Ovis aries: one gene and its partners. The protein of the gene in region 4 purifies or fractionates together with the protein of the main gene of each other region. This does not show direct contact. Links are inferred from orthologs where the notes say so. Each region holds a gene or a part of one and is shown on either strand. Other genes may lie near its edges. The genes, in order: BRMS1, ARID4B, ING2, SAP30, BRMS1L, SUDS3 and MTA2.

Evidence for each region.
Region 1: the proteins of SAP30 (region 4) and BRMS1 purify together in Homo sapiens (affinity purification with mass spectrometry; 3 studies listed by BioGRID and IntAct, with this or other methods). This does not show direct contact. The link is inferred for Ovis aries from reciprocal best matches to the Homo sapiens genes SAP30 and BRMS1.
Region 2: the proteins of SAP30 (region 4) and ARID4B purify together in Homo sapiens (affinity purification with mass spectrometry; 5 studies listed by BioGRID and IntAct, with this or other methods). This does not show direct contact. The link is inferred for Ovis aries from reciprocal best matches to the Homo sapiens genes SAP30 and ARID4B.
Region 3: the proteins of SAP30 (region 4) and ING2 purify together in Homo sapiens (affinity purification with mass spectrometry; 3 studies listed by BioGRID and IntAct, counting the BioPlex papers as one, with this or other methods). This does not show direct contact. The link is inferred for Ovis aries from reciprocal best matches to the Homo sapiens genes SAP30 and ING2.
Region 5: the proteins of SAP30 (region 4) and BRMS1L purify together in Homo sapiens (affinity purification with mass spectrometry; 4 studies listed by BioGRID and IntAct, with this or other methods). This does not show direct contact. The link is inferred for Ovis aries from reciprocal best matches to the Homo sapiens genes SAP30 and BRMS1L.
Region 6: the proteins of SAP30 (region 4) and SUDS3 purify together in Homo sapiens (affinity purification with mass spectrometry; 4 studies listed by BioGRID and IntAct, with this or other methods). This does not show direct contact. The link is inferred for Ovis aries from reciprocal best matches to the Homo sapiens genes SAP30 and SUDS3.
Region 7: the proteins of SAP30 (region 4) and MTA2 purify together in Homo sapiens (affinity purification with mass spectrometry; 3 studies listed by BioGRID, with this or other methods). This does not show direct contact. The link is inferred for Ovis aries from reciprocal best matches to the Homo sapiens genes SAP30 and MTA2.

Annotation. Positions count from the first base shown.
Region 1 is NC_056074.1:40,819,779-40,824,514, reverse strand, and holds the start of BRMS1 (breast cancer metastasis-suppressor 1), read left to right. Parts: upstream 1-1,853; coding exon 1,854-1,992; intron 1,993-2,061; coding exon 2,062-2,152; intron 2,153-2,308; coding exon 2,309-2,436; intron 2,437-2,583; coding exon 2,584-2,663; intron 2,664-2,748; coding exon 2,749-2,845; intron 2,846-3,366; coding exon 3,367-3,459; intron 3,460-4,617; coding exon 4,618-4,682; intron 4,683-4,736. UniProt on the Homo sapiens protein: Transcriptional repressor. Down-regulates transcription activation by NF-kappa-B by promoting the deacetylation of RELA at 'Lys-310'. Promotes HDAC1 binding to promoter regions.
Region 2 is NC_056078.1:7,336,977-7,340,931, reverse strand, and holds part of ARID4B (AT-rich interactive domain-containing protein 4B), read left to right. Parts: intron 1-3,065; coding exon 3,066-3,335; intron 3,336-3,955. UniProt on the Homo sapiens protein: Acts as a transcriptional repressor. May function in the assembly and/or enzymatic activity of the Sin3A corepressor complex or in mediating interactions between the complex and other regulatory complexes.
Region 3 is NC_056079.1:13,497,813-13,502,217, reverse strand, and holds the start of ING2 (inhibitor of growth protein 2), read right to left. Parts: upstream 3,168-4,405; 5' UTR 2,694-3,167; coding exon 2,513-2,693; intron 1-2,512. UniProt on the Homo sapiens protein: Seems to be involved in p53/TP53 activation and p53/TP53-dependent apoptotic pathways, probably by enhancing acetylation of p53/TP53. Component of a mSin3A-like corepressor complex, which is probably involved in deacetylation of nucleosomal histones.
Region 4 is NC_056055.1:107,369,530-107,372,787, forward strand, and holds the end of SAP30 (histone deacetylase complex subunit SAP30), read right to left. Parts: coding exon 3,253-3,258; intron 1,238-3,252; coding exon 1,115-1,237; 3' UTR 912-1,114; downstream 1-911. UniProt on the Homo sapiens protein: Involved in the functional recruitment of the Sin3-histone deacetylase complex (HDAC) to a specific subset of N-CoR corepressor complexes. Capable of transcription repression by N-CoR.
Region 5 is NC_056071.1:43,755,596-43,759,550, reverse strand, and holds part of BRMS1L (breast cancer metastasis-suppressor 1-like protein), read right to left. Parts: intron 2,953-3,955; coding exon of another isoform or gene 2,910-2,952; intron 2,646-2,909; coding exon 2,518-2,645; intron 771-2,517; coding exon 691-770; intron 1-690. UniProt on the Homo sapiens protein: Involved in the histone deacetylase (HDAC1)-dependent transcriptional repression activity. When overexpressed in lung cancer cell line that lacks p53/TP53 expression, inhibits cell growth.
Region 6 is NC_056070.1:56,884,881-56,888,835, reverse strand, and holds part of SUDS3 (sin3 histone deacetylase corepressor complex component SDS3), read left to right. Parts: intron 1-188; coding exon 189-208; intron 209-1,676; coding exon 1,677-1,833; intron 1,834-3,955.
Region 7 is NC_056074.1:37,477,252-37,480,772, forward strand, and holds part of MTA2 (metastasis-associated protein MTA2), read right to left. Parts: intron 2,812-3,521; coding exon 2,694-2,811; intron 2,564-2,693; coding exon 2,500-2,563; intron 2,317-2,499; coding exon 2,199-2,316; intron 1,920-2,198; coding exon 1,817-1,919; intron 1,610-1,816; coding exon 1,510-1,609; intron 1,337-1,509; coding exon 1,148-1,336; intron 1,051-1,147; coding exon 976-1,050; intron 849-975; coding exon 790-848; intron 648-789; coding exon 550-647; intron 442-549; coding exon 302-441; intron 49-301; coding exon 1-48. UniProt on the Homo sapiens protein: May function as a transcriptional coregulator. Acts as a component of the histone deacetylase NuRD complex which participates in the remodeling of chromatin.

The DNA of each region.
Region 1 (4,736 bases), on a different chromosome or scaffold from region 4:
ACTGAGAAGTAAAAGCCAATCCCGGCCCTACAAACGTTTTTGTTTAACTTTGTATTTGCAAATCCTCCAGTCATCAAATGAGTCGGTACAAATGGGTGAATAAAGCACATGTGCAGCCCTGCCCTGGTGAGGCTTACTGGCTGGTTGGAGAGACAGATGTGAGAATGGGCAAATAGACATGCAAATAAGTCAGGAAGGGTGACTGCACAGAGCTAAAGGACTACAAAGAAGCCCAGAGAAGGTATCACAGTGAAACAGAAGCCCCCAATAGGCAAAGAGATGATCTGCTGAGAAGACTGTTTATTCTTCCTCTTGGGTGATCTTTTGGCCGCACTTGGCACTGTCACTTCTTCATTCTGAAATTCTCTCTCCCCAGCTTTGAGTTTTCCCTCCTCCATCTCTTGCTAATTTTCTTCCTTTTTGGAGGGGTCTCATCGTCTGCCCCTTCGGTAACCCTGGAGTTCCATCATGAGCCCCTTCTCACTCCACACATTCTGCCTTGCTGGTGGCACACTCTCCCAAGGTCTGAAGAACTCACTCAATGTGATGACCAGATCTCTGCAGCCCAGATTTCTCTCTGAGGCTTAGACCCATGTGTCCCCACCCCTGCCCCTTCTCTCCTTTCAGGGTCTTTTTCATGCCACTCACTCTCCTTAGAATGCTTTCTCTTCCTCAGCCAGCTCAGCTCATGGGTTTGGCCCTTCATCCTCTGCAAGCCCTCACTGCTGCAGCAAGCTCCAGGTTTCATTTAGCTGCCTCTCCCATATGCTCTTGGTCTTAACTCTTCTGCTTCCTGGCCTCTCTCTCCCAGGAACTTGTCAACTCCTTGAGATCAGAAAACTGTCTGCCGCACTTGAGCCAAGCTCCTACCATAGTGTCTGATGGTACCTAGCATATGTTAGATTTTTCAATAAAGATTAAATCAGTGAGTAAAAAGATGTTTAACACTGTTCTTTGTTGCTGAGAAGTCAAGATAGAGACCAAAAAATATTGGCATCGGGTACAAGGAGGTCATCTATTAACTCTACAGGATCAGTTTCAGCTGAGAGCAATGATATGGAAACAGATTGGAACAAGTGGAAGGTGAAAGAGTAGGAAGAGCATGTGTTTACAAGACCTTGCAAAGATGGGAAATGGGGGCCGTGATTGAGTGGAGTGGGATGAAGTTTTGTGTTTCTGCTTTTTCTGCATGTTGGGAAATACCTAAACATGTCTAAAGTTTCCTAAGAGCTGCCAAGAGGGAAAATTGAGCATGCAGAAGAGAGAGTGGAGTACTGATGACTTGGGGTCTTAGAGGAGGCAGAAGGAGGTAGGATTTGAGCATAGCGAGAGGACCCGAGCATTGTAGGGTGGGAAGAGAAGTGGAGGGCTTTATAGGCAGAAGAACAGCACAGTGGGCAGCAGGGGCTGGGGAGGAAGTGCGTGGTGTATTTGAGAACTGGCCATTAGATGTGGGGTGAAGGAGCTGGACAGCGGTTCAAGTCCAGTGTGCAGGGCCTCGAAAGCCTGGGTCAGAATTTTGGCCCAGTCCCGTAGGCAGTGGAGAGCCCATCTTGGCCTTTCCCATCTTACAGATCATCACCTTGGCCAATATTACGGGGATTGTGATCACCAACAATGTCCAAGGGGATGGGCATTTCTGTGGCTCCTAGATTTCTGGGAGATGTGTAGATGGTTCCATTTGTACCTGCCCCACCCTGCATGTCCCTAGGGCCCAGCGAGTCCAGTCCATTCCCTCCCCTGCTTGTCCCCATCCACAGCGAGGCTTGATTTGACTCCCCAAGTGACCACTTTGCCACTCGGAGCTGGGGACAGGGGCGAGTGATGGCTCCACTGCTCCTCCCAGCGCCCAGATGCCCGTCCAGCCTCCAAGCAAGGACACAGAGGAGATGGAAGCAGAGGGCGACTCAGCTGCCGAGATGAATGGGGAGGAGGAGGAGAGCGAGGAGGAACGGAGCGGCAGCCAGACCGAGTCCGAGGAGGAGAGCTCAGGTGAGCCCCACACGCCCTCGAGCGCCCTGCCTGCCCCCGCAGCCGGCCCTGACTGGCCTCTTGTCCCAGAGATGGACGAGGAGGACTACGAGCGGCGCCGCAGCGAGTGCGTCAGTGAGATGATGGACCTGGAGAAGCAGTTCTCGGAGCTGAAGGAGAAGTGAGCGAGGGGCCCGGGGCTCGGGGCCCGGCTTCCAGGAGGCAGCGGAGGGCCTGGCGCCAGCCAGGGCCGGTGTGAGCAAGGGCCTGACCCGGGGCGCTGGGCACGTGTTTAGCAGATGGGCACACGGGCGCACGGCTGCCTTTCGCCTCCCAGGTTGTTCAGGGAACGACTGAGTCAGCTGCGGGTGCGGCTGGAGGAAGTGGGAGCTGAAAGGGCACCCGAATACACGGAGCCCCTGGGGGGGCTGCAGCGGAGCCTCAAGATTCGCATTCAGGTGGCAGGTCTGTGGCCCGTCCTGTGCCCCGTCCCCTTATGAGAACCCACGGCTCTCTGTCCCCTTCCCCTCTCACCCGTGCCCTGCCTCACCCGCCTTTGTGGGCAGCCAGGGCCCTGGCCAGGCCCGGCCGCCCATCGCCCTCCCTCCGCAGGGATTTACAAGGGCTTCTGTCTGGACGTGATCAGGAACAAGTATGAGTGTGAGCTGCAGGGAGCCAAGCAGCACCTGGAGGTGAATGTGGGTGCGCCGGGTGGGGAGGAGGTGGCCGCCCCGCCCCACCCCGCCCCGCCCAGCTGAGCCGCTGCGCCTCTTGCAGAGTGAGAAGCTGCTGCTGTACGACACGCTGCAGGGCGAGCTGCAGGAGCGGATCCAGAGGCTGGAGGAGGACCGCCAGAGCCTGGACATCAACTCTGGTGAGGCCAGCGGCCAGCCGGCACCCCTGTGCTTCCAGCGCCCGTTCCCTGTCTGGGCCTTGCCTTCCCCGCTTGCATGGGGGTGGGTGTAGGAGGGCCTGCTCCGTGCTCACCGTGGGGACTGACGGAAAGCAGGCGGGGAAGGGCCCAGCCCGGTGCCTGGTGCACAGTGGCAGCTTGGGGGTGCCCTCCCTCCGTGCTGGTCCCAGAATGGAGGCATCATTCTGACACACGTGCCCCTGCCATGGCCACAGTGTGCCCATTCACACAGGGCACTGGGGAGGGAGGGACTAATGATCTCACACCCCCATCCATGAAACAGATGAGGAGACTGAGGTTAGCAGAAGCACAGTGACCTCTTTCCCAGGATTGAACTCAGCTTCCAAGCCCAGGCTTCTCTGCACTGCCCTGGGGAGGTTGATGGGGATGGGCTGGCCTGGCCCACGTGAGGGACACAGGCTTCAGGGGTGGGGCGTCCTGGGAGGACGGCACCCTGATGCTGACTCTGGTCTGGGGCGCAGAGTGGTGGGATGACAAACTGCATGCCAGAGGCAGCTCGAAGACATGGGACTCCCTGCCACCCAACAAGAGGAAGAAGGCGCCTCTCGTTTCCGGTATCCTTCCCCATACAGTGGCCTGAACTGGGCAGGAGGTCAGGGTGGAGGCACATGGGGGACAGAGGCAGACCAGACTCACTTAAGGTCATCTGGCCTCCTGTGGCCGTGTCCAGGCAGATCAGCTGTTGAATTTTCTGCAGGGTCCTCCTGGCCTGTGTGGACCATGGAAAAATAGAAGCATTCATCCAGAGATTTCCCCATAGTTTTCTGAGTGAGGTCTCCTCTGAGGCCCTTCTGGCTTTCTCACAGTGTCTTGGGCATGTCCCAGGCTCTCCCACCCCCATGCCTTTGCTGACTTTACACTCCCCTCTTGGATGCCTTTACCTGTCTGCCTGCTCGGTGCCCATCAATTGTCACCTCCTCTGTGAAGCCTCTCCTGGTTTCCCCGACAATGGCTGTGGCTTCCCTCTCCTCTGCACCCCTTTACCTGAACGGGGGCACCTGCCTCCCTTCTGGACATAGTCACCTCTGCCGCCCCCCAGGTGTGAGCCCCTCTTGTTCAGGGCCTGCTGTGCCGGCCTCCCCCCCTCGCATAGCCCAGCACGGAGTTGAATTGAATTCTCAGGTATACACACCCCTCCATATTTCTGCCGCAGTCAGATTATCAGGAAGTTGACCTCCTGGTGATGGGGATCATGTTCAAGCAGGGAGGGAAGGATCTGGACTGCAGAGGCTTGAGCGGGGGTGGGAGGTGAGGGTGTGGAGACGTCAGCGGGCAGAGTGGCCAGTCCCCAGACGGGCGGGTGAGACCGATGGAGGGTGGTTTTCAGGACAGAAGAGATAGATGACAGTCTGCGTGTAGGTGGGGCCAGTTGAGGGAACAGGGGGCGAGATCCCTGAGTGGGTGGCCTGGGCCTGGGCCTTCTGACCTTGAGGCCTGAGAGGAGGTGAGGAGGGAGCCAAGGGGCTGAACGCCCTCTGTGGACTGGGTGAAACTGAAATAGGCCGCAGCCACGCACTCCACCCTGCTAAGAACCCAGGAGCCACGAGGTCGGAGGTGGAGCCTGAGTGCTGCCCCAGGTGCTCGGCTCCCCAACCCGCCATCCACGGCACCGCCGCCTCTGAGTGCTGGCACCTCCCACCCCCTGGGCTGGGGGCCCGGTCCCATCCCCTGCCCCCTCCCCACGTCTCCTGTTTCCTTGACCCCCATCTCAGGCCCTTACATCGTGTACATGCTGCAGGAGATCGACATCCTGGAGGACTGGACAGCCATCAAAAAGGTGGGTCTAGCGCTGCCTGCCACAGGGTGGGGGCTGGCGGTGCAGCACCCCCTC
Region 2 (3,955 bases), on a different chromosome or scaffold from region 4:
TGCAGTGCCTGGGCTCCAGAGCTCGGGCTCCGCCCCGTGGCATGTGGGGTCTCAGTTCCCTGACCAGGGATTGAACCTGCGTTGCCCGTACTGCAAGGTAGATTCTTAACCGCTGGACAACCAGGAAAATTCCTATGGCTTTTTATTTACTGCAGATATTTATAAATGTATCATACCACAAACAAATTTTCCTGATATGGCTGCTGTAGAAAATTTATGGGTTAGAAATATCCAACTGATCTCTGGATTTTATTAGATCAGTACAACAGAAAATTTTGTGATTGTGAAGAATTAACATATAAATATTTATCTAGTATATAAACTCTCTTAAGTAATTAGCTGGTACAAGAACTTTCAGTGTCCTTCCTTTGTAGTTCAGTTGTGTAAGATTAAATAATTGAATTTATGTAAAATGTTTGGTTCAGTGCCTGGCCCGTAGCAGGTACTAATAACCTATAATAGTTATTTTGGTCTTAATTTTGGTCCATTGTAAGTAAGGAATGTGACATCAAACTTGGGAAATTTGATTATTTGTGAGTTCAGATGAAAAAGTCCTCGTGGATACATTTGGTTTCCCAAAATGTAAAAGATAACTCATGTAATGTGTGTGTGTTGTGTTTATGTTTTTGTGTAATACATACATCCGCTTAGTATACCAGCTACATTTTATACTTTGAAAGGCTCTCTTTCTTGACATTCTGTGTTCTTTTTGATGTATCTACCTCTGATTTTTGCCACTGAGAAGAGAAGGAGGGGGAGAATATTTGGTTCGGCTGATGGCCAGTAATTGTGTTGTTTGCCTCTTTGTAGTTCAGTGTGTTATTGAGTGACTCATTTGATTTGTGTCTGAGGTTGACATTAAATGAGAAATTCTAATTTTTAATTTTTGATTGCTTTTAAAAATTAATACAGAGTATTAGGTTTTTATTCCAGATTACATAAAAGATTGCCCTGGCTACCACTGAAAGTAGGATTGTGCTAGCTATTATTGGTGTTTGCCGGTTGTGTTCAGTGCTACGTGTGCGTGTGTGCTCAATCGCACAGTCGTGTCTGACTCTTTGCGACCCCATGGACTATAGCCCACCAGGCTCCTCTGTCCATGGGATTCTCCAGGCAAGAATACTGGAATGGGTTGCCGTTTCCTCCTCCAGGGGATCTTTCCCAACCCAGGGACTGAATCTGTGTCTCCTGCCTTGGCAGGTAGATTCTTTACCCTTGAGCCACCAGGGAAGCCCTCAGTCCTATATGGTTTTTTAATGAACAGTTTCAAGTTAGTTTTTGTTTAAAACATTTTAAACTTTTAATCATCTATATCTCTTTTATGTTTTCTATAATGATTCTGAGATGCATGATAAATCTCTTTGGTGTATGATCCGTCTTTGTTGTATCTACCAGAATATGCTTCCTTTTCTCCCTGATGAGCAATGATACAATCTTCTGATTAAACAAGTAGTATTCTTTCAGAAAAAGCCTTACTGGTTAATTTTACATATGTTTATTACGTATACATAAATCAGTTAAGTTGTTAATAGTTTATCTGATAGTTTCTTAGATATTTCAGGCTTTCTGATAATTTCTTAGGTATTTCAGCTTTACTTACAATTTTTTCATTATAGAAATGTTAATAGATTTTCAGTAGCAGAATTCATATTTTTTGTCTCAGGTTACAGCTGGATTCATTTAATTTTTAAGTACCAATTTGACTATAAACAAGTCTTTAAAATAGGAGTAATTCTTAAGAATCTTTGTAGACTTTGTGATGCATTTCAGAGAAAATTGACTCATTTGGTACTTTTGTGAACTCAGACTTAATTTCATAAGTGTATTAAGCTTCCCTTCATCCCTGCTGCCTCACTGTATAGAAGGAATAAAAAAGCCCTACAGTTCTAGTTGTGACAGTATTTCTAGTTTATTTTTTGTTGCCTACATAATTGCATAATTAGGAATGATAAAGTATGTTATTGCTAAAAAAGTTTGCATAAAAGAATTTAAAACTAAAATTATTAGTGGAGGAAGATTTTTTTATCTACATACTATGCCCATTAACTTTTAAGGGTTAGTTACTTAGCTGTCTTATGGTTCTATTTTATGACATTTATTCATTTGTCAGCTATAAAGTGATGGATTCTTTTTGAGAGCAAACTGTTGTAATAAGGATAGACATACTGCAGAGTAAATAATTGAAGTTTTTTAAAAATAAATCTAGTGCATGGAAAATTTATAATTTAAGATTTTCCCCCAATTTATTGAATACAAATTTGTGATCAATATAAAATGAATATGATTGTTTTAGAAAGCACGTGATATTGAGAAGACCAGAATCGTTGCGTTGCTGCTTCTAGAATGCAAATGACTTTCAGTTTCATATTTGCAACTGGTCTCTCATATGCCTGTTTCTTCAGAACTTCAAAGTTGAGAGAATTGGTAGAAGAGGACTTTTGGTAAATATGGAGAAAAGAGAGCAGAAATTGTGTTGAAGTTTAGAAGAATAGAAAAAACTTGATGCGATTTTAATGTGAACTTAGTAGGATATTCCTATAAAAGGTGAAGCAATATTTCATTTAATACAACTTCAGAAAATCTGGTTGAAATTATTTTAATTATTAAAACTAGCCATTGGCTAGTAAAAATTTGTTTAAACTTTTATCTGGAGGTTGGAAATATTTGAATGAAAAATATTTTTTAGTCAGAAAATGGCTATGAGTTACGATGATTTTTGTTTTTGTTAACTGAGTTGTAAAGAAATTCTACAATAAAACATGAGGAAAATGTTAGCGTCGACCTTACTAGCTAGTTTCTTGCTGTTCAGCACAACTTCTGTTCTTCTGCCTGTTGGACATTTTCTTTCAATACACTTACTTTTCAGTTTTCATTTTCTCTGAATATATCTTTCTGTAATCATCCATGGCCATCTCATACAGGTTTAGTGTTTGATATTAAATTGAAACTCAGAGAATATCATACGCTTGGAACCTGCTGTTCCCGGAACAATCACAGCCACGATTTTTATCAATTTATGTGGTTTGGAACTGAAAAGCTTATGAAGTGTCTTTTATTAACTGCAGTTTTTTAAACCTTTCAAGAGATGAAACGAATAAAGAGGAAGAGGAAGATGATGAAGAAGTAGAGGAGGAGGAGGAGGAGGAGGAAGAGGATGAAGAGGATGATGACAACAATGAGGAAGAGGAGTTTGAGTGCTATCCACCAGGCATGAAAGTCCAAGTGCGGTATGGACGAGGGAAAAATCAAAAAATGTATGAAGCTAGTATTAAAGATTCTGATGTCGAAGGTGGAGAGGTCCTTTACTTGGTGCATTACTGCGGATGGAATGTGAGGTAACTTGAGTTTTAGCTAGTGATTACTACCTAAAAAATCTTGTACAGTAATTTTCTATTTTAAAATTTAACGAATTATAGATTTATTAGTATTCCAATTGAGGTCATAGTATACCATATAAAAAACATGGAGTTTTGACTTGTAAATACCTCTCTCAGTGACTTCCTACTTACTGTTTTCAATACTTTAGTCTAGAAAACTAAAGTCTGTGTAGTTGATTTTAATTTTATGCATGTAGATTAATAGGGGCAACATTGTTGGTAAAATGATAGAAAATTTTCTTTAAAAGTTAAAAGGGATTTAAGCTTCTTGAGGTCTACAAGCCAATTATGAGGCTTCTGGCTCTCTTGCATTTTCATCTACCTTTCCACGGTAACCTCTTGTTTCCTTCTTAAATCATCCCATTTTCTTGCCTTTAGTAGGCAGGATTTTAAAGTTGCGATTTCTTAGGAAGCTTTAGCTATTTCAGGAAGACCTTATATCTGCATTGGCAGCTCTTGCATGACATCTTGTTCAGAACCCTCAGAAATTAATTTTTATGTTTGAAACAATGATTGAAATATGAGCAAATCTGCTTGACTGAAATAGGGTGCATGGTCCAACTCTACTCACCTAGGGA
Region 3 (4,405 bases), on a different chromosome or scaffold from region 4:
TGAGCGACTAACACACACATAATAAAGACTTCATTCAATTATGCAATTGTTTTCTTCATTCCTCTCTCTTTAAAAGTTTTTAAGTCTACTTTTAGGGTTCTTCAGTAATTTCTGAAAATGTATGAAATAGGTAGGAAAGAAACTTGACTGTCTAAATAATTTATATCACTATTACTGTAAATATTAAATAAAAAAGCAGAAAATACTTCAGAACTAGAAAAGAAATTAAAGACATGAAAACCAAAAACACACAAGTATACAAAGCTAATAGAAAACTGAAAGTTAAGCTTAGGAAGCATGCTCATAGAGTAACAACTAGATCACTGTTTTTGTATTACTTTTGAAATGAACTATAGTCTTAAGGGAGCTACAACTTTTTATAATCTCTCAGTCTTTCAAGGCCCAATAATGTTTCTCATGTTGTCAAATCTACTTCTGTCAATTCTAGATGGTCAAGACTGCATAGTTCCTGGAACAAATTATGGCTGGCCAATTCAAATTAAAGTATCTTAACTTTTGTGAACTCACACAGGTCTTTAAAGAAATGTAAAAGCATGCAAGTTTTACAAACTTCAGAGTTATCATTTGAAAAACTAAAAAGGTTCCACATGCAACTCTTAAGCACACATGTAATATTTTTAGGTTACAATTCAGGTATGTGCTTCCACGTCTATAGAAAACACCTTTGGAGAGCATTAAAAAAAAAAAAAAAAAGATTTAAATACTTTAAAAACGACCATGTCACCTGAAGAAGCCCTGCTGTGGAGTCAAATATTCCCCACTTAATTGGACAAGTTACTTAAACTTCTTGTAAATTTAAATTTGTCTGCAAAATGAATTTTTACTTCATTGAGCTGTGAAGATTAAATGGGATAATGTTCTGAACGCAGTGCAGCAACTGACAACCAGTAATCTGTATTAATCACTCCCCCGACCCCAACAAAGACCAGTCCTGTCAATATGGATTCAAAAGGCAGAAATAAACTGCCTTTAAACTGTTTTTTAATAGGTTAAAAAACAAGACACAGAGACAACTAAATATTCTATCAGGCTGCAGGCCCCAAAATACCACCCCAGAAATGCGTTAAGACACTAAATTGTAGGATTTGCGACAGGTCAAAAAACTGAGAATGGGTCCAAGAAGTTATCTTTTTAAAGTTCAGAGGGCTGATTCCACATCAGGTCCAAGGTCTGTTGCTTGATTCGGGACTATTAACCGCAAACGGTTCCCCATTTAAGTTAACTCCTCCCCTTGCAGTTGCAGGCGAAAAGGGTCACCAATGATAAATAACAAATAACACGCTCCGTAATAAAGGTCGATTCTCTGTCCTAGCGGTCTGGGTCTGACCACAAAGGGCGGCTTTTGCCACAGCATTTAAACTCGGCGGAGGAGGGACCCAGGGGTTGAGGGACGCCAGGCGGTTGCCCAGTCAACCAGCTCACACCCTTCGGGGACCCGGAAGTGACGCAGGGCCCGGAACCTACGCGGTGCCGGGATCGGCGACGGTCCCCGAAGCTGACTGTTTCTCTGTCGTGATTTGAGTGACTGGGGGGGGGGAAAGTAGAAAATTCACAGACAAACGTGTCCCGAATCCCAACGTTGACTGCGCCGAGGGCGAGCTTACGTCCTGCACTGCCGCCCGAGCCTTCCCGCGACCAGCCATTTCCCGGACGGGCGGGAGCGCGCGCGCCCGTGCCCCGCCCACACCCTACGTCACCTCTGCAAGCCCCGCCCCCAGGCGGCGGGGGGGTAGGGAGCCTGCTCACCCCACACTCAGACACTCACATACACACACCCCTCGGCTCCCCCGCGGGGAGCCCCTAGCCTTTCAACCATTCGGCTGTAGCAGCCGGGAAAGGCTGCGGCCCGGAACTTTCCCTGGGGTGGGAGACTGGGGAAGACTCGATTCCCGAGCCCAGAGCCCCGGAGCGCCGGGGGAGGGACCTCCCCAGAGGCCACCTTCGCAGTCCGCCCTCGCCCCCTCCCCCCTAGCACGTTCCAGTGCATCTGCGCTCAGGGGGTGGGGGCCTGAGGCGGGCTGGGCTGAAGGAAGCCCGGCCCTGTGGGCCTGCGGGAGTCCGGCCGCGGCCGGACGCTCACTCCCCACGGCAAGCCCCCCCTCCACCGCCCTGCTGCACGCTCCCCGAGCCGGGGCGCCGAGGGGTCTGCGGTACACGGCGGGCGAACACCCGGAACAAATGAGCTTGCTGCTTAAAAATGGCTGATTTCGTCTTCACAGCGGCTGCAGTCGCTGGGTCTGCAGCGGGGGCTGACGAGCGGCCACCTCTCCCTTCCACCCTCAAGACCCCCCCCAAGAAGTCCGCAGCGGGGGAAGGGGGAGGGCCGCGAACCCCACCTGCGGGGGCCCGCTGCCCCGGGTCCCACACACCAGACCCCACACACACACTGTGTACACTCGGGGTGAGCTGGAAAAGTGGCACTTTCCCTGGGGCAGGCTCCGAGCGACCGTGCCCGGGCCCCGAGTCGGGTGGGAGGACCCGCGGTCCCTACCTTGATATTTGTTGTCCAGCTCCCGCAGCACGGACACGTTCCTCTGCATGTCGTGGGGCAGCGACTCCACACACTCGAGGTAGTCCTGCACGTAGCAGGTGAGGAGCCGGCTCCGCTCGCCGGTCAGGAGCGCGGCCGACGAGTAGAGTTGCTGCTGCTGCTGCTGCTGCTGCCCTAACATCCTGCCGCTGCTGCCGCTGCCGCTGCCGCCGCCGCCGCCGCCGCCTCCTCCGCATCCAGCAGCCACACATGCAACAGCCACGGCCGCCGCGGCTCCTCGGCTCGGCAGCCCGGCGCCGCGGGGACACCGGCCGCCGCTCGGGAGGGCACTGCCGAGTCCCCCAATCTCCGGTCCCTCCCCCCCGCAAAGAAGCCCTCACTCCCCGCCCCCGCCGTAACAAGCCCAGGGGCGGGGCGAGATCGCGGCACCCTCCTTCCCCCCTCCCTTTCCAGGACTAGAGCAGCGGGGACCCCCCCCCCACCCCCGAACTCCCCTAGCGGAGCTGGCGCCGGGGTCCCGAGCGTTGACACTTCCGGTCCCCCCGGGAGGCCCCAGATGCTACCAGTGCCGCCCCGTAACTCGGATCCCCATGACAAGCCTCTCGCTGCCCGCTTTTCCCCCAATCACCCTCCCGCGCCTGCCGGAGAGTCTCTCGCTGGGCTGCCCCCGCCCCTCCGGCTGCGGCCGCCTCTGCGCCTGCGCAGGGCTCCCTCCTGAGGAGGCCCGGGGGCCCGCCCCTACCGCCCTACCGCAGGGTTCGCATTCTCCCGCCTTCCCTCCGCCACCCGGGCGATTGGTCTGTCAACTCTCGGCCCGGGCGGGGGGAGGGTGCGGAGGGCGGCCAAACGGCAGGCTGCGCCCCGCCTCCTCTTAAAGGGGCAGCGCGGCCCGGCCCGCCTCTCCGCTAAGTGTCTGAATGGGACTGAAGCGCGAAGGAAGGCGACTGCCTTCCTTCCGCCCTTCCCTCACGGAGGGGGAAGCTGGGTCCCGCTCTCTCGGCCCGGTGTTACCGACTTTCCGCCCCGCCCCGCGCCCATCAGGTGGGGCCTAGCGCTGCCCCTGGAGAGCCTCAGAAAGCGGCAGCGGGCGGCCGCTTCCCGCCGCGACCCTGAGGGAGGCCTGCGGGGACGACGCGGCGGGCGCGGCTCTCGGGCATGCGCGGCGGCGGTGGCGGTGTGCCCGCCGGGCCGGCGCCGCGCTCGGGCCCCGTCCTCCTCCCGCCGCGGCCTTCAGGCTCCCGGCGCACAGGGGGCCGATCGCGGAGGTAGTCGGTGGCGCCCCCGCGGCCCCCTGCGTCTCTTTCTGCCTTGGGCCGCCCGCCTTTGGGATCTTCCCTCTCGGCTTAGGCCAGCGCCCGCCCTTCCGCCCTTGCGGGGGGTCTCCCGCTGCCCCAGGACCTGCAGGTTTGGTCCGCCCTCCGACTTTTGTAGACTCGCGTTTATTTTAGGCAGACTCTGCCCTGTACCTGTTTGTCCAACAGACAACGTTTTTTTAAAAAAAAAAAAAAACATGTTTTGCCCCCGGGGATCAGAACGTTTAAACTTGAAACATTGGCGGTGACGGCTTCCTGACGGCGATAGGGGCACGGTCAGTTAACATCTTCGACCTAAAACAAAACCACTGTGGGCCCGGCTTGAAGGGATGATGGAGACGCCAGGATAAACCTCAAGAGGAGTCAGGCACTTACCCTCGTCTTACGTGATCGGCTCTCACGGCGTAAATTTCTGTCTGGTGTTAAATAAAATGCCCAGCAGAGGAGTTGATTTGAATTCCATATTGACTCGGTGTATATAACAGCGTGTATTTTTTCAAAGAAATGGGTGTAAAGAGAACAAATACATGGGGAACTTTAACAGTTGCCTGTGTAAACAAGCACTGTTGTGAGCAGTACC
Region 4 (3,258 bases):
CCAGAGCCATTTGACAATGCCTAGGGATATTTTTAGTTATCATCTTTGGAGCTCTACTGCATTAGAATGTGGACTCCGGTGACACCACCAAAACTAAAACACACAGGACAGCCTCCCACAATAAAGAATTATCAGGACCAAACGTTGACTTTGAGATATCCTGAGCTGCATTAATGGGCTCATCCATTTCCATCCTAAAATCTGCACTACATGTTTTGTTTTGATGTCACAAGCTATAAATTTGATTTGTAACTATTTAGCCTTTGGCTAAATATTACAATCTCATGAAAAGTAGAGGTAAAAATATTTAAGAGAAAACTGACAGAGAATGAAATATAAAACTAAATAAAACAGAAATCAAGTCAGAGCTATGTATGACCAAAATTTAAAGATCTTGATAAATTCTCGATCTCTCCAACTTATTAGTTTTAATTTGCATTGTAAACAGTACAGAACATGACTGAAAATTAAAGTGCAGCGCAGACGTTCTTTCTATATTTGTGCCATATAAATACTTTTTCACTAAAACAAAATTTAAAGAAATGACAAACTATTTAATTCTACATTCAGATTTCAACTTTCAGCACTACATTTACCTTTGCTGACACATTAACTCTTCTTTGGAAGGAAGTAGGCTTCAAACTATTTGTTCTTCCTGCTATTTTGAACTTGTTAGTACTAAAAAATACTTAAAAAATAATACTATTTAGGATATCCTTAATTCCAAATGAGATTGCCCCAGAGAGAGCAAATGGGTGACATCTATTACTTTGGTTAGTTTCTCAGAACTAAAAAAAGGGAAAAAAGGTAATAAAGTGATCTTCAAATTAAAATTTCAATTAATACTGGTCCCTAAAAGTCAGTTTAAAATAAAAATCAAGTTCCACAAAATAAATACACTGAAGCAACTATAATAGTAATAACCTTTATTTAAAATATTTTTTAATCTAGGAAAGCTCATTGTACATGAGTTTCCAACTAATTAGAGTCAAAACAAAGAAAAGAAAACCAGAGAAAATCCTCTGTAGAAAAAATACACAAGGAACATTTCTACAAGTGAAAAAGCAGTAAGCAGTCTTAACATCTGAACATCCAAGTTTTAATTCCATCTCTCCTAGTGAACACTACTATCAACCTTGAGATCTGACTTGTTCTTGTCATTCTTCACTGAGTAGATGAAATATGTTAAGGTGTCTTTTTCATTCACTGGAATAGACCTAAAGTGGCAACCAACTATCTATAAAGAAAAAAAATTGAGGAAATTAAATTATAGATATTAATAGAGTTTATAAACTAGGTTAAAAAAAAAACAGTCATCAAAAGAAAAAATGTGGTAAGCGCTATTTCCTTTCAAAAAATAAACTGTATTTAACAAAATACCAACAGGACAAAAAGCATATAAGAATAAGATGTTATGAACAAGAGATAGTGTAATTTCAAAAGACCCCTTAGCCCACTCAATTAAGTATGTATTAATCAGAATGTGTACTTCACTTTATTTCTTTTAAATTTTATAGCTGAGATGTAGATCAAGAATTAAATACTTTTACTTGTAAACTTCAAATATCAATGAAATAGAATATAAGAGTCCACATGCATTATATAATGGTTTATGGTTTTTCTTATGGAAAAAGAACAACCATTAAGTCGGAAAAGTTTTGGTACGATAGAAACAAACCAAGAATGATCTTACAAATATGTTTGCTATGACTTAACATTCATTCATTCATTGGAAATATTCTTTGTTAAAATTCCCTGAAATTTTTTCTGTATAAAAATTATGGATGAGAAATGAGAAGGGAAAGGATGTCCACTGAAGAATGTTTACCTGCCTTCTTGCCTTTTCATTCTGCTAATGTAACACATGCACGGCAACTACCAGTAGAAGTATATTAGACTAAACTGGGGCACTGAAACGCATATTTAGATTCTAGAAGATAAAACTTCTTAAAGAAAAAGATACGAGACTTACACAGGCTGGTCACTCAACTCTGGAATTGTTTATAAATATCTGCATTTCTGACTAAGTTATAACACTCATACTATTTGGATTTCTCATTTCTAAATAAGAAAACATATCTTTAAAAGAAGATCAGATTATCAAAAACATCAGGTTTGATTTCTGCATTTAAAAAAATATACATTTAAATATAACATTTAAAATAACCAATTCTTAGGTTGTCATTTGTCCCAAAATAAAAGCACCTTCACTATGTATCTGTTTATCTATCAATATATTAATAATTTCATCATGGCAGGAGATATGTTTATGTTATATTAATGTACTATAAAACTTGAAAAGGACTTGACCTTTTAAATCAAATTTAAAGAAAAATTAGATTGTTGTTGTCTAAGCAAGAAGGAAAGAAGAAATTCTGGCTAAAGCTTTAATGTTAAAAAGCATTCTGCCAAAGTGTACCTTCCATTCACCTATGTTATTCAATATGGACATTTTATAAAATGTTGGTTTTCTAAATTCAAGCTGAAGAATATGAGAAAACTGATTTACATATTTATTTAAGTATGTCAAGTAGGTTAAGCATTTTTATTTTAAACATGATAGAAGTATAAACATATAAATCTATAGATATCTTAATATGACACACACATTTCTTGGCTCTATTATTTCCTGAGAACACAAGCACTCAACTTTTCAAAATTCACTGAAGGACTGCAAGTCCTATATTCAAGAACCTATAAGTAAAAGCTTGGATAAAAGTCTTTGCGTTTTTTAGTCATAAAAACAGGGATGCTTCACATAAACAAACTAACACCAACAAGAACAAATTCTGAAATAGTTAAATCAGCAAGTTACAGGAATACTGTTTAGAGGTTTATCTGTAAAATCTATTCCAACAAAAACCAAGAAAATTCTAACAAAGACATCAAAGCTTATTAATTTATTATTATGCCTCAATTAGGTGCTCAATAAGTGTTTACTGAGTAAAATAAAATTTTAAAAGAAACAGGTTTCTAGAGAGAGAATACAAAAAAACTTTTACTTACTATTTTTGAAAGTCAGTATTAGAAGATGCTTAGAAAACTGCATATAATCTAATGAGTAATCATTATATAAAGGAATTTCCTAAGTGATAGACAAACATTTCTAGGCAACTAGATTCTTCCACATTAGATTTTATTAACTTTGATTTTTCTAACTAAAATGTATTGTTATATATACTAAATTAACATCATTAGTATTTAATGACTTTTTTTGCATTAAAGGTTAAATAGTTTAAAACTTATATATACCTCAAC
Region 5 (3,955 bases), on a different chromosome or scaffold from region 4:
AAAAGACTAAAAGCTCAACATAAAGGCAAAAGATAGGTACAGGTACTTCTTAGAAAAGAAAATGTTTCATCTCAGTTATAACCAAGAAAATGACACAAGCTCCATCATTTTTATATCTATCTACTCTCAGTATTTTAATAGTTTATAAAGATATGGTACATTAAGATAAGAATCATCACAGAGCTTGTTCTTATTTTCCCTAGTTATTTATGATCTTGTCTAGGCCTTATGAAAAGTAATCTGCAAAATCAACACTATGTTTTCCAATGCTATTAAAAATAAACAGAACATAGAGAATCCATTTTTCCCCCATAGAGAATTTTGCCCTAAGATGTGGAGACAGATCAAAAAATTGAGAAGTTAATATAACTACCGGATATACATTTTTTGAGTCTTTAACATTATACTAATTATACTACTTTTGGTGATGCCAGATGACATAATTATTACAAAGTCTTTTTAAGGTGACAGCTGCAAAACTTCTAAAATTATATCACTTAGTTCTTTTGTATGATTCTTTGTGTCCCATTTCCAATATAGCTTCCAATGAAACTGTATTAAAAAAAATTGCATAAGTGGGCTGAGCTAAAGTACTATTCAATTTTGTTTCATTTACTTTTTTAACTGCTGCACTCAGAAGAAGACTTGAAGAATTGAAATCAGCTTAAAAGTTAAACAAAATAACAGTACCTCACAATGCTGGCGAGAAGCTTGAATTTCACATTCATATTTGTTCTTTACAGATTCTAAGCAGAGCTCTCTATAGATTCCTGCAACCAAACACAATTACTCTGATTATGTTAGCAATAAGGAGTTTCATTATCACTTCCCTGTAAGAATTCTGTCCTATTTTATAAAATGGATCAAGAAGAAATTGGTGGGTCTAACTTTACCTTTATAAACTAGAAATAACAAGGCTCAGTCAAAATATACATCAAAGAAGACTACAAAACTAAGAGCTAGAGAGAAACTACACCGCGAATTTTAGTTCTTAGCCATTTTTCTAAAAAATATTTCCAAATGCTTGTTAGAGAATGATTAAAACAAAAATAAAACTCTTCACCTATGAAAAACAATGTCTCAGGATTCATAAGGGAAACAGTAAAAAAAAAAACTCTGGTTTCTCAATCATATATACTCAAACTAACAACTGGATACCATAACCATCGAAACAAAATAGAGTCCGAAGCTTCCAAGACTCAATGTATAAACTAATATAAGAAAATTTATAAAATAACATGATGTTTGAGTGCTCCTGACAGAGCTTTACCTAGAGGATAGATGTTCAAGTTTAACTTAGAGGTACCGAGACCACTGCATAAAATAGGCACCCTTAAAAAAACACAGAAAGTAGGCCATGCAAATACGCCATCACAAAAATGGCAAAGAGGTCTAGATGTACATACTTAACTCTATGCCATAGCTGCCTCTAGAACTGTAATACTTTTTCTTGTACAGTAAAGGCAAGGAACAGATATCTGGAACTATGCCGTCAGCAACACAATCACACACACTACTCTTTGTACAATCAAAAAGTACAGGAGGCCACCTCGTAGCGAAGTGAATAACTGACTCAAGTAATATTTTCAAAACTTAAGGAAGTCTCACTTAGTTCTTTTCAAATGTCAAAGAAAAGTAAGGACATGTTTACTTTTAAGGATGTGCTAAGTCAATATGCAAAAATAGTAGATTAAGCATAACATTATCTATATACTTAATGTTAAGCACTCAAGACTAAAATTCGGTTTAAGGAGGATTCAGTATAAGAAGAACCTATTATCAACAATGCCGTAGGTATTATTAATATGTAACAGGTGTATGAGGATCAATTATTGTTCCCCAAAAAGAAAACAATCAGCATCTTCAGTAAATTTCAGTTTTTAGTTTGACGATGAAAAATCATTAAATGATCTTCAAATAGATATATCCTTTGTTAGGCATGGTAGGACACAATTCCGAGGCCAGATCCCAGTTACAAACAGAAGACTGAAATTTAACCATACAAATAAAATACACCTCCATTTATTCATAATCACAAATGCACCATCAAACTTTCCAAAATAAAAACTCATAGCTGAACTACAGGTTTGAAGGCTAATTCCCTGTTCTGTAACATCCTGATCAAAATTTTTTAAATGTTTTTATAAATAAGAACTCTTTATCACTCTTAAAGATGAAAAATACTAAGAGGACTTAAATTGAACATTAATAGAAAAATAAACTACGGTGTTAACAGTATGTCTTAATGAAAATATCCTGGTTTCTAACTGTTTCACATGTGGAAATATCTTTTCAACAACACTGTGAGCAATTTGAGGGCTTTTTTTTTTTTTAACGCTCCACAGCAGCAGAGAAAAGCAGGAGGCATTTAATAAATTAAAATAACTGTGGGCTGACTGATAGTATAATATTCTGTTCAACGTAGATACATTTGTACTTCTATTAACAACAACCACCTTTTAAATCTATTGAAGAATTCATATTCTACTATATGGAAAAGATGTTTCACTTTCCTACCTGCTACCTTTGTACGAATTTGCATATTTTCTTGTAAAGTTGCCAGTGGTTCCAAATATTCTGGTGCTTTTCCAGCTATGACTTCTTGTAGTTTTGCATCCACCTGACTTAATCGTTCTTTATAAAGTCTTAACAAAGCAAAAATTAAGATATTAATTTTAAAGGCCCAGCAAAGGCTAACAATTTATCATTTCTATACATTATCTCTTAATATCATTCATATTCTAATAGCCTACCGAATATATTTTTTCCTTGATCTCAGGTGACAAGAACACAGTTACGTCATTTGACTTTTATGCAAATAATCACAAAGAAATGTTTTTCTATTTTTTAGACATATCACTTTTTAATGGTTAATTTACAAATCAAAAAAATACAACCAAAATAACTACCTCTGGACACTGTAGGTGTTTTTCACTGCAGAATAAATCAATTCTAAGAGAAAAGGTCAAATAAACACTGAGTTTAAAAGGAACAAATTATTTTGAGTAATTTAGATACAGGCATTATTAGCTGTCAAAAATAAATAATTCCCTGCCTCCCCTCCAAATCTCTTGAAAAGGAGTCAGTTTAAAAATATTCAGCCTACTTAATTTTTAAGAGAACCAAGAAGAAGCAGAGTGATGAAGGTAAAACCAAAGCCTAGGGAACTTAAGACCTGGCATACCCAGCTCATCTAGACTGCGAATGAAGAAGCTATAACAACATGAGTTGCTTGGCAGATGGGGAAGTGAAAAGTGGGGCAAAGAATCCCCGTTGCTCTTTTTATGAGTCTACATGCAAACAGGCCTAATGTAACAGCTTGCACATCAATACCTTCAGCTTGATTATCAAAGATGGTATGTGAGGCAACCCAATGTTTATTTTTACCAATAGTCCTGCAGGATAGAACTTTTTTAACAAGAAAATGTTGAAACTGTCATTCTTTATGAGAAGCACTTCTAACCCTGGTTTTGTAGCATTTCAAAGATATCCTAAAATCTCAAAGCAGATTTAAGATCATCATGTAAAAAAAATTTTTGCCATTTATTACTGCATCATAGGTGACTATGTCATAATACATCACAAGGATGGCATATAGTAACTCCCAGAAGAAACCACTGATTATGCTTATAGTTGTTTGTATAAATAGCAGTTGACTATTGAAAACATGATGATACTTGGCATTCATGTAACATTCCACTCTCTCCTCTTGAAAATACCAACTAATACAACTAAGACAACTAATATTGTCTATTATTGATCATTATATTTAGCATAGTGATTTATATAATGATTTTAAAGGAATAAAGCAAGTTTGAATGTTCATACTAGTTAATAACTAGTTAATATTCTTTTTTTAAAACCAGAAAGGAAAAATTATCTGAATCAACTTCCAGAATAATACACTATCATGTCTGGGTTAAACTTTTCTAAAACTCAACATACAATGTATGAA
Region 6 (3,955 bases), on a different chromosome or scaffold from region 4:
GATTCTGTTCAGGGCCAGATTTTAACTAGTCCTGCCTCTTCATGTAGCCACACTTTACTGATGGAAACATGTGCTCTGTGTAACGGTGCTCTCAGAAAGCAATTACTGCTTCTAAATGAATCCTAACGTCACTCTCTAGAAAGGTGGTACAGCTTCGCGAATCTAATTGCATGTTTTCTCTCTTTCAGAGCTCTTCCTCCAGCTGGAAGTAAGTACCACGGGTCTTCTGGGCTTGCAGGATCTTTGTCAGGGTGGGATCTTGCTCTCCCAACCCAGTGGCCTTTCCTTCATCACCACATAGACATAGCTGCTGGGTTCGCAGAGGCCCGCTGGAAGCCTCAACTAGGGTTCTGTTTGACTAAAGGACATTTGGTCTCAGCTCAGAAATTCTGTTTGTTGGTGGGGCAGCCTGTGCTTATCCCAGGGGCTTGACAGATGGATACTCACCCCTCACTGCTTTCTTGTTGACTCTCATCTCACATTACAGCCGTTTGGGGGTACATGGTAAAAAACTCACTTGCCGGTGCAGAAGACATATAAGAGATGCACATTTGATCCCTGGGTCAGGAAGATCCCCTGGAGGAGGGCATGGCAACCCACTTTAGTATTCTTGCCTGGAGAATCCCATGGACAGAGAAGCCTGCTGGGCTGTGGTCCATGGGGTCATAAAGAGTCGGACCTGGCTGAAGCAAATTAGCGCACATGCACGCACTGAATTATAATGGCCTAATAGTTGGTTATATTGGTCCTCAAAGCAGCCAGGTCTCTGAATCAGCTCAGTTTCATCCTTTTGAAACTCCGGATGGGAGGGAAAGACTGATTAAGATCTTTGACTGAGCAGATGCCTGAGTGCTGGTTCCATGTGAGGTGCAGACCTACAGGCAGTGATGAGGGCCAAATCTTGGGTGATGTGCTGGCTCCTAAGGGGCCAGTGTGTGTGTGGCGAAGCGGGAGGGTGGGGGAGTGGTCATGGTTTCTCACAGCTACGTTATTGGAGACTGAAGTCAGCACAAACACGCATAGTCATGGCCCAGAGGGTCACACGACCCATAGCCATACCCACCAGGAGTCCCCTTGTTCTTCACTTCAGGAAATGATGAGATTTGGAAAATGGATGCTTATGCATTTTTTTTTTTACTTAGTATAATTTCACTGTTTGAGTGTCTCTCTGGGTTCAGGCACCTAATAAGTGATCTTGTCCTCTTGTTGGTCTTTATCTTACTGCTGGATCTAACCTTACTGTACGCATCAAAAAATAGGGCAACTCAGGCTGTCTTGGTATCTTATAACTCATCTTGAATATAGGTATTTCATCTGGAATATACTATTTTCCTTCGAAGTTGTATCTTCAAAAGGGTTTGTTTACTGTTTTTGAGAAACTTAGGTTTTGTTTCCACATACAAGCCCCAAAGTATAAGATGTGGAAGAGAGGGAAATACCTGATTACAAGTGAGGGATTCACATAAAAACCAGAAGTTATGTGGTTCAGTTTCATGCATGCATTGGGAAGCTTGCTCCTAGACACCCTGTTACTGCTCGTTGGTGTGTGACTGCTGCTGTCTCTCTTATTTCTAGAAAAGGTATTTTCTTGGTGCTTACGCACAGAACAAGGCTTTGTGTTCAGACCCTGGCTCCCAGGGTTATATAGCCACAATCTATGTTTCTCTTTTGCTTAGACGGAACAAGTGGAAAGAAATTACATCAAAGAAAAGAAGGCGGCAGTGAAAGAATTTGAAGACAAGAAGGTTGAGTTGAAAGAGAACTTAATTGCTGAGCTAGAGGAAAAGAAGAAAATGATTGAAAATGAAAAGCTAACGATGGAACTGACTGGAGGTATGAAAGCACCACAGAACAGGATCCAGGGAAATTTGAGGGGGTCTTTGAGGGAGGAAGGCACTCCAGTGCTGACTCCTGTCAGTTCCTCATCATCAGAGCAGAGTGAGCTGAAAGAGGGGTGAGGGGACAGTCTTTGACATGGCAGGTCATAGTTATAGCTCTGTTTTGTATTGGCTGTGTGACTTTAGTCAAGCCACTTAACCTCTCTGAGCCTATTTTCCCCTCTATAAAATGAGGCTGATCATACCTTATTCCACAAAACTGATTAGAAATATGAGTGCCTAGTACAGGACCCTGTACATAACAGGTGTTGGTAAATTAAATGGTAGACCTTTATCAGTGACTGCAGCATCGGGCTTCTGCTTTATTTAACAAAATTCCTGGGTCAGCTGTCATTCCAGTCTTGCTTATCTTCACGAATTACTCGCCCAAGTTCCGCTCTGCTGGTGGAAATCCCTCTGTTTTTTTTTTTTTTTGGTGGGGGGGGTCTACCTTTGTTATGGAAAAAGCATTGTCTTAACTTTGACCTGACTGTGAGAACAGAGGCTTTGGCTATATCATCTATGCTGTTGCTTCACCCCAGGTGTTACTGTGAACATTTCAGCAGGGGTAGCTAAACTGAGTTGTTCTCCTGTGAAGCTAGTAAAGTTACGTTAGACTTGGAGCCAGTCACTCCCTGGCCTTCTAGGATTCAGTCGTCTGCATATGGGAACTCGGCAGGTTTGAGGGAGAAGCAATATGGGCTGCTTTTTCTGTTGCCATATGTAGACCAATGACTCTGAGAAGGATACAGGATGGGAATTGGCTTGAACTAGCTGTTTTGGAACTTGGCAAAATTTCCACCAGCAAATACTGAAGGCACGTCAGTGGTGAGTTTGTCACTTGGATTTGTAAATGGCATGCCTTCTGCGCAGCCCCAGATTTACTCTTATAATCATGTTCAGAAGGTCCTGGGGCTCTGGCATGTCTCATTTTTGTTGAATGCTCCAGAAGGACCTTGTTTTATGTAAGTCCTCGGGGCTGACTTTGAAGCTAGAAGTAACAGTTTAGAGCTTTATTTCCCCTTTGGTATTTCTGGTGCTGTTAGCCCACCTGGCCCTCCCCCTGACATGGACTTCTAGCGCCAGTCCCCACGACACACCAGTGATATGTGGTTGTGTCTAAAGTAGGGGTCTGGCTCTTGAAAAATCTCTCTTCTGATACCTTCCTTTTTGAAAGACTTGGCAAAAGGAATGAATTTCTTGAAGACCACTGACTGCAACTCAGAAATATGTCCTGGTGAGAATGAATGCTATATAAAACAGCATCTTCAGAACAGCACCGTCTTGTTCTTGTTGAGGCGCTTTTTTGATTAAACTGAGAGCGCAGTGGCGCCTTGTCCGGTCCCAGTCTGCGTGGCTGTATTCTGACCTGCACACCCTCTTCTCCAATGTGGCTCCGGTGGCATTGACGCCTCATCGATCCCCGCTAGAGCCACCAGATGCTCGGAGCCTTCATTAGGCGAGTGGGAAACATTGTCAGTTTACAGCCTCTCCCTTTCCATCTGTGGGGAAGGCTGTCAGCCCCTCACCTGTGATTTGGCATCCTAAATATTGACAGGCAATAGTCATTGGTGAGCCAGGCTGTTTTACAGCCGGAATTTTAACAGGGACAGGAGACATCCTCAGTGACTTAAGAGGCCGAGCCTGCCAGGGTAGAAAAGACAAATAAATGCAGGGAAATCATTTATGACGCAGTAAAATAGACTACAGGAGTGCTTACAGCCTGCCATGGGCATTAAAGGTACTGATGTCCTTCCTCAAGCCGTTTGGTACCCTTGGCATGGAAAGCGCTGCCAAGGTAATGATGGACTATCTGAAGGGAAGGCACTGGAGCTAGAAGGGTAACGAGCGTTTCCACAGATGGTGCTGCCATGGTGTCGGCTTAAAGGCCCGCTGCCTTCCTCTTGCTGAGTGACTGATTTTACCTCTGTGGATTGATGCCCAGTATCAGTGCTGCCTAGCTCTGCCCAGAAAAGATGCTTCTTAAAATTTCCTTTTCTGGTTCAACATGAAGATCTCTTGAAAAACAAAATGGAGTGTGGGTCCGATGAGAAACTCAAACCAAATAACCCATTGGA
Region 7 (3,521 bases), on a different chromosome or scaffold from region 4:
GAGACCTTGGGCTTCTGGTCTGGACAAATGACCCCTCGAGTGTGGCTCCTGGAAGGACACAGGATAAAGGGAGAACAGTCAGTCACCAAGGCTCCCTTCTTCCACTGTCAGCAGAGGATTTATTCCCGCCTGATTTCTTTGTTGCTGTCCTGACCACCTGGCTCCCCAACCACTACCAAGTCCCACCCCCGCCACCCACAGTCAAGCCATCACCTTACTGGAGCTGGGTGTCCTGGCCTTCGCCTAAAGCTCACATCAATTAGCTTACTGCTCTCCCCAACTGCTCCTCATCCATCCTTACTGTGGTGCCCCGAGCAGCCCCCTCAAGCTGAGTTGGGGTCTTCAGTCCCCCGTACTTCTTCCAGTAGATCCAACAGGAAGCACAGAGGCGGCACTGCATGTTGGGTGGGCCCCAGGCGTACCACTGGGCAGACTGTGTGGCTGTGGGAGCATGAGCGGAGGGAACAGTCAGGAGGTAAATGCCACTTGAGCCTCTGAGGCAAACACCCCACTCACCCCCAGCAGCCCTTATCCCTCTCTGGAACTCACTGTGGCAACTCTCACAAGTCAGGCCCTTTTGGAATCCAGCCCCATTCATGCCAGGTTTTGAGCCCACAGAGATTATCTGGTTAGGGTTTGGTTTGGTGCTGATGGGAGAGAAACCAGGAACTGGTCAAGACTTCCACTTTGTCCCCATAATTTGCCCCTGTCTCCTGTGCACCCCCATCACTTAGGAAAGCACAGGTTAGGGGCGGAGAGAAGAAACACACCCTTACCCATCATACTTACTAGGTAGGGATGTAGACTTGTTTTAGTTTGCTGTCTGCTTCAGCAGCTTTCAATCTTTTCTGCGGGAAGGAGAAAAAGGAAAAAGGATCAGAGCATCTCAGCGGGGGGTGATGAGTGGTGTCATCAACTTCAAAAGCAGAGGTGAGCAGGGGTCCTCTGGTCCAGCCTCCCCAGCCCAGATCTTACCTGTTGAATGTATCGGTCTGTGGTTTTCCACATGTAATAAAACTGAACTATGCTGGCCAGTGACTTCCAGGGTAGCTGAAGAGACGGAGAGAAGGGTGAGCTGGGATCTGGTCCCAGAGCCTCGTTCCCTCATCTGCCACCTCTTCCACCTCTCCTAGCTCCAGCCACTTACAAAGTCCTGGCGAATATCATTGAAATCCTTCCCATACTTCTCCAGGGCCTCTTCAAACAGCATGGCCTCTGAGGCTGACCATTCCTCCATCTCATCCCGACACAACACGGGCCCGCCCTGGGGCACCAGGGTCGACATGGCCTTAGCCAGGTCATAGCCATTCCTCTGCAACGTATCCATTGCGTGAAACTACAGGAAAGGTGGGAAGCGATGCTGATGACCTGAAACTCTCAGCACCACTCCCCTGCTGCTCTTTAAGTACTCCCCCCACCTCAGAGATAACCTCCTCCCTGCAGAGTCCCGAGGCTCTGCAGGTCCCTGCAAAACACAGCCTACCCAACTACCCACCAACTTTTGCTCACCAGGGTGATATCTCGGGAGGCAGCGGCTGCACTCATGTGCAGGCTTGGCTGCCGAATGGAGCTGCTGCAATCTAGGGCTCTTGCGAAGGTCCCCACAGCTCTAAAGGAGAGAGTGAGAAGTCAGGGAAAGAAAGTTCGAGTGGGCTGAGGAATCAAGCCAGATGAGGTGGGTTGGGGGGGAGGGGGGAGCGGGGGCGGAGGACAACACCCAGGCCAAAAATAATTAAAAGTCCATCTCTTAAGAACATGACTCAGAACTATGTCCACACCGCCCACAGCCCATCTTCCCCATCCACCCACCCCTCACCGGGCCACCACGAGAAACTGATCAATCTGCCGGTCTGTGAGAGGGTTGTCTGGATCCCAGACTTTCATCTCCATCTTCTGTTGGTTCCGATTATCAGATTCTCCTGGGGAGTGGAAAAATGGTTATCATCCAGGAGAAAAATAGGTGCCTTGACACAGGAACACCTCATCTCCTCCTTGGATTCTATTAGCCACCTTAACTCTCAGACTTCTCTTCCCAGTGTGCCCATCTGCCCCCTTCAGGTTCCTAAGGTCCCAGTCTAGCCGGGTCATTAACACAGAGCCACGCAGACTGTGCACCACACAAAGCCAAGGCCCACCACTCAGAGACTTTGATCTTAAGATATCCCAGTGGTCATAACCCAGTCTCTCCTGCTGCGTACCCTCTGCCAGGCGATCTGGGATCTCAGCTTGGTATTTGCAACCAACTCGGATCTCTCCCTGATCAGCTAGAAGTGTCTTCTGCATAGGGTCAAACACCAGTGAGTAAAAAAAGCAGTCCTGGAGACAGAAAGAGAGAAAGTAAGCTGGGCAGCAGTCCTCATAGGCAGGGGACACAGGGGTTATCTGGAGTTCCCAAGACAGGCAGACTGTCAACCTGTACCTGATCCCAGTCAGACTTTCTTCCTGCCTTTCGGGGCAATACCCACTTCCCTCCCTCTTCTCCCAACACTTCTTTCTCACCTCCTTTTCCAGGTACTGGCTCAGGATATCTGTCTCATTCAAGAGGGTCACACTGCATTTCCCCCTACAGGAGAGAGGTCAGAAAACCCTGGGTGAGCTCATTTCCTCCGTGCGGCATCTCCCGCACACTAGCCCCTCCTCTCCACCTTCTAAATAAGTGCATGCAAGCCACAGTGGCTCTGACTGCCCCATACCTTATGTGGGTGGCTGGCAATGATTCGAATTGCCGAGAAAGAAAAAGTTCTCGGTGCTTCAGTTGATGTCGCTGCTGTTCTGACACCCCTGGCTGCTTCGATTCCTCCTCAAACTCCCCTGGGAGATTTAGGAGGAAGAAAGCAAGTCAGAAACTAATTCAGAAAGAAGCCACCTTAAAAACTCTAACCCAGGGAAAATATTTTATGTTTTCCTCACATTCCTCAAGGACCTGCCTTCCATATCCTCACCACACCACCCTTACCTCTTAGCCCGCCCCTGTCGCCATCACAGGTGCTCCCAACTCTTCATCACTAATGAGGGCTTTTAGGGAAGAGCTGCTCAGGGTACAAGGGCTTCCCAGGTGGCTCATGGGTAAAGAATCTGCCTGCCAATCAATGCAGGAGATGGGCTTGGATCCCTGGGAGGGGAAGATACCCTGGAGAAAGAAATGGCAACCTGCTCCCAGTAGTCTTGCTTGGGAAATCCCGTGGACAGAGAAGCGGGCAAGCTATGTTCATGGGGTCACAGAGTCAGACACAACTGTACATACACACGCTGAGAGTACAAAGGCTGCCACAGAAACACATGGCAAACCCAGGTGCCAATGCTCAGATACCACTCATATGGCACAAATCTGCCCACACCAGGCCCAGCAAGAATATTGCACTTGTCTCTTTCTTGCTAAACTAACCTGGGGTCCAGAAATTCAGTGACGATAAATAAATAAATAAAAGCATCAAACAAAATTGTGTTTACCAGTTCTGCAAATTTCAGGAGACTCTGCTCTTAAACATCACATGCAACCCTTACTCTCTTGTTTTCTACTT